Rattus norvegicus: one gene and its partners. The protein of the gene in region 3 purifies or fractionates together with the protein of the main gene of each other region. This does not show direct contact. Links are inferred from orthologs where the notes say so. Each region holds a gene or a part of one and is shown on either strand. Other genes may lie near its edges. The genes, in order: Nifk, Npm1 and Rrs1.

Region 1 (3,750 bases), on a different chromosome or scaffold from region 3:
CTCACAGTCCTTAAGTCCATGTTCTGATACCCTCTTCTGTCCTCGGCACACACATTACACATATAGGGTACACATACAGACAGGCAAAACACTTATCACATAAAAATAAAATAAATAGGGACTGAACAAGTAGTTCACAGTTAAAAATATTTTCTACTATTCCAGAGGACTTGAGTTCAGTTCCCAGTACACTGGGCATCTCACAACAGCCTGTAATTCCAGGTTCAGGAGATCCCACACCATTATTCTCTATGGTCACCTGAATTCCTGAACACATAAAGACACATGTATAATATCAAAAATACAAATATATGTTGCACTATGTTGTGGAGATTTCCATGGTGAGGACTGGTGGAATTTCAAGTCCTGAACCTGAGGGAACTCAGGGACTGGTGGAACTTTTTTCTTGTATGCCAGAGTCTGGTCACTCTCCCACTTCTGGGCGGTTAGAAATCGTTAGGGATGTTAGGGAAAGAGGGGGACATGTGGAGATTTGGGGAGGCTGGCCATTGAAGCTCCTCAGGCAGGGGCCTGACCACTTTCCTGCTTGAGTGTTTACAAAGTTTACAAAAGGAGTCCATGGCAGGAAGACTTTCCCTATTGCTTGTAGGCCTGACTAGCCAACAGACATGGATAATGTTTGGGACTTGTAAATTTGTTTTGAGTCCATGGAGCCCAGGCCGTGGTCGAACTATGCATATGAGAACCGCTTTGAACTCCTGATCCTCCTGCCTCCACCTCCCAAATTCTAGGATTACAGGCGTGGGGCTCCAGTCATGGTTTATGCAGAGCTGGGCAAGCACTTCACCAACATTAGCCTCCGAATAATTTTTAATCCGTCTTAGAAAGTCTTTTAGATTGTGGTCAATAGGTGGCGCTCGAGGTCGTCCAATTCCAAACACCAGGGCTTGCTCTTCTTGCTACACTCCCGCCTCTGCTTCCGCTTCCGAGTAGTGAAAAGAACGTCACTTCCGGAGGTTCCGCGTGGATTAACTTGTTCGTGCTTCTCCAGTATGGCCGAGTATTCAGGCCCTGCGAAGCCGACTCTGGCGTTGAACCCGCGGGAGGACTCGCAGTTTGAGAAGGATCTGACGCAAATACAACGGCGCGCGAAAAAGGTGAGCGGCGGGGCTCTCTGGCCGCGCTGACTCGGGAGCCCACCTCTCACGGGCTCTGGAGACTGAGGCAGGCAGGGAATCGGTGTGAGGTTTGACCCTTTAGGCCCTCAGGGCTCACGTGAAAAAGGAGGTGTACCACGTGTGGGGAGCATGGCACCTCCAATTCCCAAAATATGTTAAAGCTGTCACATTTCCGCTTTGGCCCGCAAAATGGGGGTTCAGAATGAACCACAGCATTTGGAAGGTATGTATGTCCCCTTACGTTGTAGTGCTTAGTAGACGGAACAGACAAATCCAGGTCCTTGGACGAGCGGGGAAGCAGGAGGATCGAGAGTCAGAAAACAGCTCGGGCTCAGTATTCAGACCAGAGCTTCGCCAAAGAAAATAGGGATTACAGCCTGCCAAGCTCTGTTCCCAGACTGCCCCGAAAGGAAGTTTATATCCCCTTTGGTTTTCAGCATGAGGTGCACTGGAGAGAAAGGAAGATTTTCTTTCTTGTTTTGCTGTTGTCCTGGCGGGGGTGTCTTTTGTGCGGGTTGTTTTTGTTACAGTGTCTTTGTAGAGTTTTTGTAGCACAAAATTGCATCACATTTGCCGTGCAGTCTAGTCCTTGAACCATATATCCACTGGGATTACAGGTGTAGGTCACTATAGGTCACCCAGTACCCTACCTGATGGGAAACAAGTTCTTGTTCTCTAAGGTGGTGACAGAAGTATAGTCTTCACTGTGAAGGTTAATCGGAAATGATTCGATGTAATAAGCTGCCATCTGAGTTCAGAGTTGAAGGTCTTGGATTCGGAGTGACAATGACAGACTTTCACTTGATTGTCCATTAAGGAACACATGTGCCGACTGCTTTGTAGGGACAGGTGGGTGTGCATGCACACCACGGCACACATAAGTCTGTCTCTGCAGAGTCTGTGGCTCTGTGTGATTGAACTCAAGCCTCAGGTTTGCACAGCGGTGCTTAAGAAAAGAGATACAGACACCTAGTTTTTCAGTTTCTGCTGTGATAGAGAAATGTTCCCGGACCAAGAGGAATGAAGGGTGTTGAAAATTTTGTTGCAGGCCAGGTAAGGTTACATTTACCTTCAGTCCAGTGCTGGAGAGACAGAGGCAGGCAAAGCTCTACCTATCCTCTGAAAGGACTTTAGAAAGCTGGGGGGTGGTGGCACACACCTTTACTCCAGCACTCAGGAGGCAGAAGCAGGTGGGTCTGTGTGAGTTTGAGTCTGGCCTGGTCTACAAAGCTAACTCCAGGACAACTAGGGCTACACAAAGAAACCCTGTCTCAAAAAAGGGAAAAAAGACTTTAGAATTAAATTTTTCTGAAGTTAAGGAATGGTAACATACCTTTGTTGAAAAATAAAGTCCTTTGCAGAGAGCATAGTAATGCCTTTACTCTTAGTATTCATGAATTAGAGGCCAGCCTGGTCTACATAGTGAGTTTCAGGCCAGCCAAGGCTCCATAATGAGACCCAGGTCAGAAAAAAATGTGTATATACAATGTTTTGGTGCAGTGTGAATTTTTTAAAATGTTTATCTGTTTTGTCCTCAGCAGAAGAAGGAAGAAAAACTTAACTCTGGAGTAGTTTATCTGGGGCACCTACCTTCAACGCTCTCTGAAAGCCACATCTATGACTACTGTGCCCAGTTTGGCGATATTAGAAGATTCAGATTGTCCAGAAGTAAGCGGGTAAGATTCTGTACCTGAATTCAACTATGTTTATTTTGCTTGTCAATTGTACGGCCTCCTTTGTATTCATAGGCAAAACTTTGTTACCTACAAAGTTCCTACTTGGGAACTCTTCACAAGCGAAGCAGCATGGTGGCTCATACCGTTCGTCCCGGCACTTGGGAGACAGATAGGTAGACCACTGAGTTTGAAGCCAGTCACAGCTACATAATGTGGATTTCTATCTCAATAAAGAGAGAAAAATAATGAGGCTGTGGAGATAGCCCAGTTTGTAACTGTCCATCTACAGAACCCAGGTCAAAAGCCAGATATGGTCACATACATGTGTAATCCCAGTGCTAGGAAAGTGGGAATGGGGTTCCTGGGGCGCACTGACTAGCCAGCTCAGCCCAGCTCCAGCCCAGTGACAGGGTGACTGAGACCTGGGGAAATGGCCCAATGGTAAGAGCACTCGCGCTCTAAACAGGAAGTAGAACACACACACACGCACCTTTTCCTCAAGCACCAACTGAAAGGCCAAGTGAGCCCAGTACTGGGAGCTGGAGCCTGGATTGTAGAACTTGCTCCCAGCCAGTTTAGCCAAAACAGAAGTGGCAGGTCAGTTTTTTGGTTTTGGTTTTTGGTGGGTTTTTTTTTGTTTTGTTTTTTGTGAATTTGCTTTTACTGGGGCTTAAATCATGCGGTGGGATTTGTCTGTGGTACCACACCAGCTTCTTAAGGCCTGTTGCCCACTGGTTCCTCCCTGGAAGAGAATTTCCAACTCTTGGGGTTTCTGCTGGTTGCCTTTCCTAGTTCTCTGAACAATCCTTTCCCTTGGGAGACTTGTGCTGCCCCACCTGTCTCTACCTCCCTCCTTGGAAACAAGGTGTTGTTTTGTCTGAGTCTTCCATTTCCTGAGGAGGCTCCTGAGCTTTGGCTCTTGGTGGGTTGAGTTT
Region 2 (3,650 bases), on a different chromosome or scaffold from region 3:
CTTTCAGAAAAAAGTAAAACTTGATGAAGATGATGATGAGGATGATGAAGATGATGAGGATGATGAAGAGTAAGTAGTATGAGTAATATGATCTCAGAAATTTGATAGTACATGTACTTGTAAAGGTTTTAGGAGGACTGATTTGCCAGTGGGTTCTGTAAAAGTAATCAGTGGTTGATGTTTGGAAGGAAGTAAAGGTTTTTGTAACAATAAAGGATTTCGCATTATGATTTCTTGTTTTCCTTACTGAGAAGCTATTCAATGGGAAATGGGTTTTTCTTGGGAGATACAGTTTAGAAGTAAGATTTCATGTGTTCAATATAAGTCAGTAAACAGCTAGATGGGAAGTATGGAATTCCTACTTTGAGTCTCACATGATAATTTGTTACCTTGAGATCTTGAGAAGTTCTGGAATTGGTCAAGTATATTGACAATATATACTGAACTTAAGGTAACTGTTCAAAGCAAAATTGGTCTTGATGTATTTATTGGTTACATTTATTCATAGTAGTCAATAAGGGACAAATCTTGAGGTTAAGTTTAGTAGTTTCCACTGGAGCAGTAATAGTTCATAGATACCAGTGAGGGTGAAGTAATAGACTGAAGGTTTACATAGTTAAGTTGGAGAGTTAAACCATATTGCTAGAAGTTCTAGAATAAAAATGTCCTCAGAATCCAGAGAGGCTTTAAACACTGATATGTGCTTTGTGTATATATTATATAAAAAGTTCTGCCTATGAATTCAAATCCTGAATCAGATACTCAATGTTTCTGATTTCAAGATTGGCTTACATTTTCTTGTATGGTTTAACAATAAGTTTGGGGAGCAGCAAAAAATCCACATTCGTATATATATATGAATGGGCTATACTACAAAAATGGCATTTATGCAAAGATTTTGACTATTGCCATTTAAGGAAAATCAAGATTCCCTTTATGGGATGCTGTTAGAAACTAGGCAATGAATCTATATATATGTGTTCTCCATAAGATGGTATTGCGTGGTGATATGGCCTTTTTTTTTTTTTTGAGCTGAGGACTGAACCCAGGGCTTTGTGCTTGTTAGGCAAGCACTCTACCACTGAACTAAATCCCCAACCCCTGAAACCCCTGATACAGCTTTTCTTGAATCAATTTTAGGTGCTGGATGAATGATAATGCATTGATTATGATGCAAAAAGCTTTTTATAGAAATTGACATTGATTGTGGTAACAGAAAGCACCTCCATGGGTTGGGTTGTAAGGCTAGTAATTTTTAACTCACATGTTGAATAAACTGTCTTTTTTAAAAGATTTATTTGTATGAATATACTGTAGCAATCTTCAGATAGACCAGAAGGAGGGGATCAGATCCCATTACATACAGGGTTATGAGCCGCCATGTGGTTGCTGGGAATTGAACTCAGGACCTCTGTAAGAGCAGAGCAGTCAGTGCTCTTAACCAGTGAGCTCTCCTGCTCTGTAAGGCCAGTTTTATACTGACCAATAGTGTTAAAAATAACCAAAACCGGGGCTGGGGATTTAGCTCAGTGGTAGAACGCTTACCTAGGAAGCGCAAGGCCCTGGGTTCGGTCCCCAGCTCCGAAAAAAAAATAACCAAAACCACTGGATTTACAGGTGGCTTTGACATAATTCTAACAAGACAATCCCACTACTGAAAAGGTAACTTAGCAGAAATTCATGCTTTTAACTTCATTAACACTAGATTGAAAAATAGTGACCTTGCTTTCAGAGTAGACTTTACTTATAATAATAGGATGTTTCAGTGACCACACTGATTCACCCCCTTCTAAAAATCACAATATTTTGTGAACATTTTGTACTTCCTCTTAGTAAGTGCCATGTGGCTTTAAATCAAAATCTCAGATCTAGATTGAAAGTGAGAAGCAGCAGCATCTTTTTTTGAGATGTTAAGTAACACTGAAGTAGTTGGAGGTGGATTGTTAATTACAATCTGACAGCTTAATACGTCTTTAGGGAGAGCCAATAATTAATAAGCCTTGCCAAACACTGCACATACACATCGGAATGAAGTATAAGCAGAAGAGCTTTGATAGGAGAAACAGGGCACTGGTACAATCAGAAGATGTAGAATTTTTTTGGTCAATTTTTTACTTTATTACTGTATGTACAATAGTTCATCAGCCCCATTTATGTCTGGCATAGATCCCAATGCTTAGTTTTTTAATGGCTAAAAACATGTGCATGTGCTATTGCTGTGGGTATTTGGGGTTATTATTACCACATGAGAGTTCTTCCTAAGTTTGCGTCTTGAGTAATGTATGAAGCAGTGTCTTGTTTTTGGTTTATACTCCCTAGTGACTAAAATAGTCTTACATATTATATTTATTATTGGGGAGACATGGTCTGTTTAGATTCAGTTAGACAAGCATCTTTGCTCTAGTAGGGATCATGTAAAAGTTAAATCCCCACCCTGCAGAAGGAGGATTAATCTAGCCCTGGCTGTCCACTAAAAGTGGCACTAAAGATAAGTAACCACCACCTGGCTAAAAGTTAATTTTAAAAAGCCTAGATTCTTTACAGTTTGGTACAACTGGTTTGATTGGAGATATTTGCTAACACTGAAATTAAACAACTGCATTTCACAACCCTCTGAAACAATAGTTTCAAGTAAATATTGTTAGGTTCTTAACATAAATCTATTCAAGTACTGGTGCTACTAACTTGCTACAGTGCGTCAATATGGCTTAGTTCTAAGTGTCTTGGCATATTTCATTTGTAGTGATGATGATGATGATTTTGATGAAGAGGAAACTGAAGAAAAGGTTCCAGTGAAGAAAGTGAGTACATAAGATAATGGAAATTTCTTAGTCCTATTAGTAAAAGCTGGCTTAGTTGTTAACTTAAAAATTGGTTCTGAGGGTTGGGGATTTAGCTCAGTGGTAGAGTGCAAGGCCCTGGGTTCGGTCCCCAGCTCCGAAAAAAAGGAAAGAAAAAAAAATTGGTTCTGAGTTAGACAAGAAAATTTGAGAACTTTATCTTTTTATATGAGCTACAACTTGTTGATTACTTAGGTTTAGGGCAGTTTAATCTGAGTTGATCTCTACTGGAGAGGGCATTTAGTGATTTAAGATCATTTTCTAATTGCAGTCTGTACGAGATACCCCAGCCAAAAATGCACAAAAATCAAACCAAAATGGGAAAGATTTAAAACCATCAACACCAAGGTCAAAGGTAAGTACCCAAGTTAACAATGGATGTCATTTATCTATTTAGGGAAAGTAGCAAATCCCATGTTAAGAACCTTGTCTGCCTAAAACTTGGTGTTTGTGGTACTTAATTAACCCTGTGTACATAGTAGATTGAGATTGTAGTGTACATTAAAATATCACGATACATAAATTTGTGAAGTGTGTCATGTACTGGGATGGACTACATGGCATCTGTAGTTGACTTTATTTTGTACACCAGTTGAATTCTGAGCTGTGTTGTGTGTGTATAACTTTCATGATCTAGGTGTATACTTGTAGAGGTCAAATAATTGTCAGGAGTTATTATTATAGGAGTTGGCCTATCAAGTTTGATTTTATCCTATCCTAACTTTGAAGCATCTCTCCCAACCCCTTTTTTAAATATGAGTACACTGTTGTCACTGTCTTCAGACAGTCTTAAGAGGGTATCAGATCCCA
Region 3 (3,750 bases):
GCATAAAATGCCTGCTTAGACAGGCAGCAGTTACCCAAACCTTAACAGTACCAATAAAAATCATTTTATGGTCGAGGGTTACCAGAACATCAGAAAATGTATTCAAAGGTCATCAGGAAGGTTGAGAACCACTGTCCTGTGGCTTACACACACACACACACACACACACACACCCCTTATGCATTTGTGTGAAATGTGTTAAAAACTCCTCATTGAAATACTTTCAACAGAAAATCACGAATCAGTAAAATTGAACCATGTGAAGGTGAGTTAAGTGGTTTAAGTGCCCCTAGCTAATATTTTATCAAATTAACTGGTGTTCTGGATTTCTTGAACAAAAATATTGAGAGTGAAAATAAAATGTTAACTGCAGATCTAAAATGTGGCTGAATCATCCTTAATAATTCCTACCATAATTCCCAGAAGGAGATGAAATTGAGCACCATTGAGAAAGCAAGGGCCAAGAAGGAGGCTCACTTGCTTGCTCCCATTTGCTCCCAATCCTGACATTTGCTCAGCATTTGCTCCCAATCCTGACAACCTCAGTTCAATTCGCAGAACTTTAAGAAATTTCTCCTCTGACCGCCATATATGTGTGACAGCACGACAAATAAGTTATTTAGTTTCATGTTTTAAAAAGTAAATCTAAGTTAATGTGATTTTTAAAGACTGATGAAATCCCTTTAAGTACTGGTTGCACTGATCAAAGTAACCATGTGTAGTGGGCTGGGCGAGGGCTGGGCGAGGGCTGGGCGAGGGCTGGGCGAGGGCTGGGCGAGGGCTGGGCGAGGGCTGGGCGAGGGCTGGGCGAGGGCTGGCCGAGGGCTGGCCGAGGGCTGGCCGAGGGCTGGCCGAGGGCTGGCCGAGGGCTGGCCGAGGGCTGGCCGAGGGCTGGCCGAGGGCTGGGGCTGCAGTGCCCTGCCCCCTGCCACCTGCCCTGCCCCCTGCGCCCTGCCCCCTACCCTGCCCTGCCCTCTGCCCTGTCCTGCCCCCTTCCCTGCTCCCTGCCCTGCCCCTGCCCCCTGCCTTGCCCCCTGCCCTGTGCCCTGTGCCCTGCGCCCTGCGCCCTGCCCAATTTTCTATTCCTGTGGATCTGTGTGGGATCTCTCTCCGCTCACACCTAGAGTACAGAAAACGGACTATATAACTCTGGGGAAATAATTTGTGTCGTCCATACACTTCTGTAATAGATTTACCCTCAAGTACTGTTGTGTAAACTCCATCTGGAAACTACAACGCCCGCCTGCAGTTCCAAGAGTTTGAGCAGCCCGCTTCCTACAGCGACCGCCCCTACCCCGCGGCATGCTGGGAAACGTAGTCCCAACCAGGCCTTGCGCTTGTTAGTCTTCATTCAGCCAACCTTCAGCGCCAGTCTAGCCAACATCCGGTTACGAGTCCAAGTCCCGCCTCTAAGCCCATCTGCTCTCCAATGCCGCCCTCTGCCGGTCCTTCCCTCACCGCCCAGTTGAGAGCAGGTTCCCGGAAGTGAGCTTTTCTCTTCCGGATTACGAGTCCGGACGTCCGCACGTGGTGGCTGGTTTTTGGGCTCTGCCATAGTAGCAAAGCATTCCGCTGCAGCCCCAAAGTGAGGGAACGGAGCCGGCGAGAGCCATGGAGGGGCAGAGTGTGGAGGAGCTGCTGGCCAAAGCGAAGCAGGAGGAGGCGGAGAAGCTGCAGCGCATCACGGTGCACAAGGAGCTGGAGCTGGAGTTCGACCTGGGCAACCTGCTGGCTTCGGACCGCAACCCCCCGACGGTGCTGCGCCAGGCCGGACCCTCGCCGGAGGCCGAGCTGCGGGCCCTGGCGCGGGACAACACGCAGCTTCTTGTCAACCAACTATGGCAGCTGCCAACCGAGCGCGTGGAGGAGGCGGTGGTAGCGCGCTTGCCTGAGCCCGCCACACGCCTGCCCCGCGAGAAGCCGCTGCCCCGGCCACGACCGCTCACCCGCTGGCAGCAGTTCGCGCGCCTTAAGGGCATCCGTCCCAAGAAGAAGACCAACCTCGTGTGGGACGAGGTGAGTGGCCAGTGGCGACGCCGTTGGGGCTACAAACGTGCCCGAGATGACACTAAGGAGTGGCTGATCGAGGTGCCTGGGAGCGCAGACCCCATGGAAGACCAGTTCGCCAAGAGGATTCGGGCTAAGAAAGAACGCGTGGCCAAGAACGAGCTGAACCGACTGCGGAACCTGGCCCGCGCGCACAAGATGCAGATGCCCAGCTCAGCCGGCCTGCACCCTACGGGACACCAGAGTAAGGAGGAGCTGGGCCGCGCCATGCAAGTGGCCAAGGTCTCCACCGCTTCTGTGGGACGCTTCCAGGAGCGCCTCCCCAAGGAGAAAGCGCCCCGGGGCTCCGGCAAGAAGAGGAAGTTTCAGCCCCTCTTTGGGGACTTTGCAGCCGAGAAAAAAAACCAACTGGAGCTACTTCGAGTCATGAACAGCAAGAAACCTCAGCTGGACGTGACGAGGGCCACCAACAAGCAGATGAGGGAAGAGGACCAAGAGGAGGCTGCCAAGAGGAGGAAAATGAGCCAGAAAGGCAAGAAAAAAGGGGGCCGGCAAGGACCTTCGGGCAGGAGAAAGGGCGGTCCACCGAGTCAGGGAGAGAAAAGGAAAGGAGTCTTGGGAGGCAAGAAGCATTCCAGGCCACCTGCCTTAGGTGGCAAGAAGAAAGGAGTGCCGCACCATGGAGGGAAGAGGAGAAAGTAGTGCTCTCCCCTCTGGACCTCTTCTGAAAAGCTAGAACCGTACTTGCTGTAGGCTGGTTCAGGAGGTGGCCGCTGTCCTCAATGAGCTTGACATTGAACGGGCAGGTTTGCCTCCCCTCGAGTCAGTGCTGGACTACGAATTAATGGAGACACTGACTGGTTGGTGTGTTTTGAGATTATGAGAATTACAGAAATACTGTGGTCAGAACCAGGAATAAGTTAATGCCTGCCTTTTTATCTTGACTTTGGATGCTGGGTAAAGGTTGATCAAATTTCTAGGTTATAGTAGACTGGTTTCAGCATTTTTGCATTATTTTGGTAATAAAGCTTGTATATTTATCAAAGCAGGAAGAAGGGGGAAATTTACAAGTTTGCCGGTAGAAGTTATATGTGAAGCCAGTGACATGGGTACCAATACGTGTGTGCTTGCAAAAAAAAAAAAAAAAAAGTTAAAATGGTTATAAATGACCCCTGGTATTAGGAAAACTCAAACATTCTTTTGGCACTAACTATAATTAAAGTATGGTGCTTCTTGATGTTGGTTCAGGTGGTGCATTTGGCCAATAATTTGGAACCACACTAAATGATGGTAATTAACCTTGTTACTCCAGAAAATGGTTGTCATTTTGTTTGTAGCTGATGGCTTTTGTTTAATTGGCTTGGGTTTTAGTTTTTAGCAAATGCTAGGCTGGAATTCTCTATGGAGCCAAGGCTGCCTGGAACTCACTCAGGCCAAGTGCTGAGATTATAAAGGAGAGGCTACACCCAGCAGATTCCATGGTTATTTCTGTCCTGGATGTTATTTTTTTAATCTTAATAAACTTATCTTTGCATAAGTATTAATACTTGAATACTTGCATTATTTTTGTAAATTATGAATTGGAAATCTAGAATTGAGTGAGGGAGGGGTGTTTTCTGTTAACCAAGTTGGTCTGTCAGGGCGGAGTTACTTTTAGGAAAATGCAAGAAAAGCTCAACTTGTTTCATAGCAACTAATGGAAATACCGATTGTTAATGACTTTGGGTAAAAGTTCTAATTAGG

Evidence for each region.
Region 1: the proteins of Rrs1 (region 3) and Nifk purify together in Homo sapiens (affinity purification with mass spectrometry; 3 studies listed by BioGRID and IntAct, counting the BioPlex papers as one, with this or other methods). This does not show direct contact. The link is inferred for Rattus norvegicus from reciprocal best matches to the Homo sapiens genes RRS1 and NIFK.
Region 2: the proteins of Rrs1 (region 3) and Npm1 purify together in Homo sapiens (affinity purification with mass spectrometry; 3 studies listed by BioGRID and IntAct, counting the BioPlex papers as one, with this or other methods). This does not show direct contact. The link is inferred for Rattus norvegicus from reciprocal best matches to the Homo sapiens genes RRS1 and NPM1.

What each region holds. Positions count from the first base shown.
Region 1 is NC_086031.1:31,945,165-31,948,914, forward strand, and holds the start of Nifk (MKI67 FHA domain-interacting nucleolar phosphoprotein), read left to right. Parts: upstream 1-981; 5' UTR 982-1,013; coding exon 1,014-1,118; intron 1,119-2,677; coding exon of another isoform or gene 2,678-2,680; coding exon 2,681-2,815; intron 2,816-3,750.
Region 2 is NC_086028.1:18,249,106-18,252,755, reverse strand, and holds part of Npm1 (nucleophosmin), read left to right. Parts: intron 1-7; coding exon 8-69; intron 70-2,743; coding exon 2,744-2,801; intron 2,802-3,111; coding exon 3,112-3,195; intron 3,196-3,650. UniProt on the Homo sapiens protein: Involved in diverse cellular processes such as ribosome biogenesis, centrosome duplication, protein chaperoning, histone assembly, cell proliferation, and regulation of tumor suppressors p53/TP53 and ARF.
Region 3 is NC_086023.1:14,515,709-14,519,458, reverse strand, and holds Rrs1 (ribosome biogenesis regulatory protein homolog), read left to right. Parts: upstream 1-1,522; 5' UTR 1,523-1,611; coding exon 1,612-2,709; 3' UTR 2,710-3,156; downstream 3,157-3,750. UniProt on the Homo sapiens protein: Involved in ribosomal large subunit assembly. May regulate the localization of the 5S RNP/5S ribonucleoprotein particle to the nucleolus.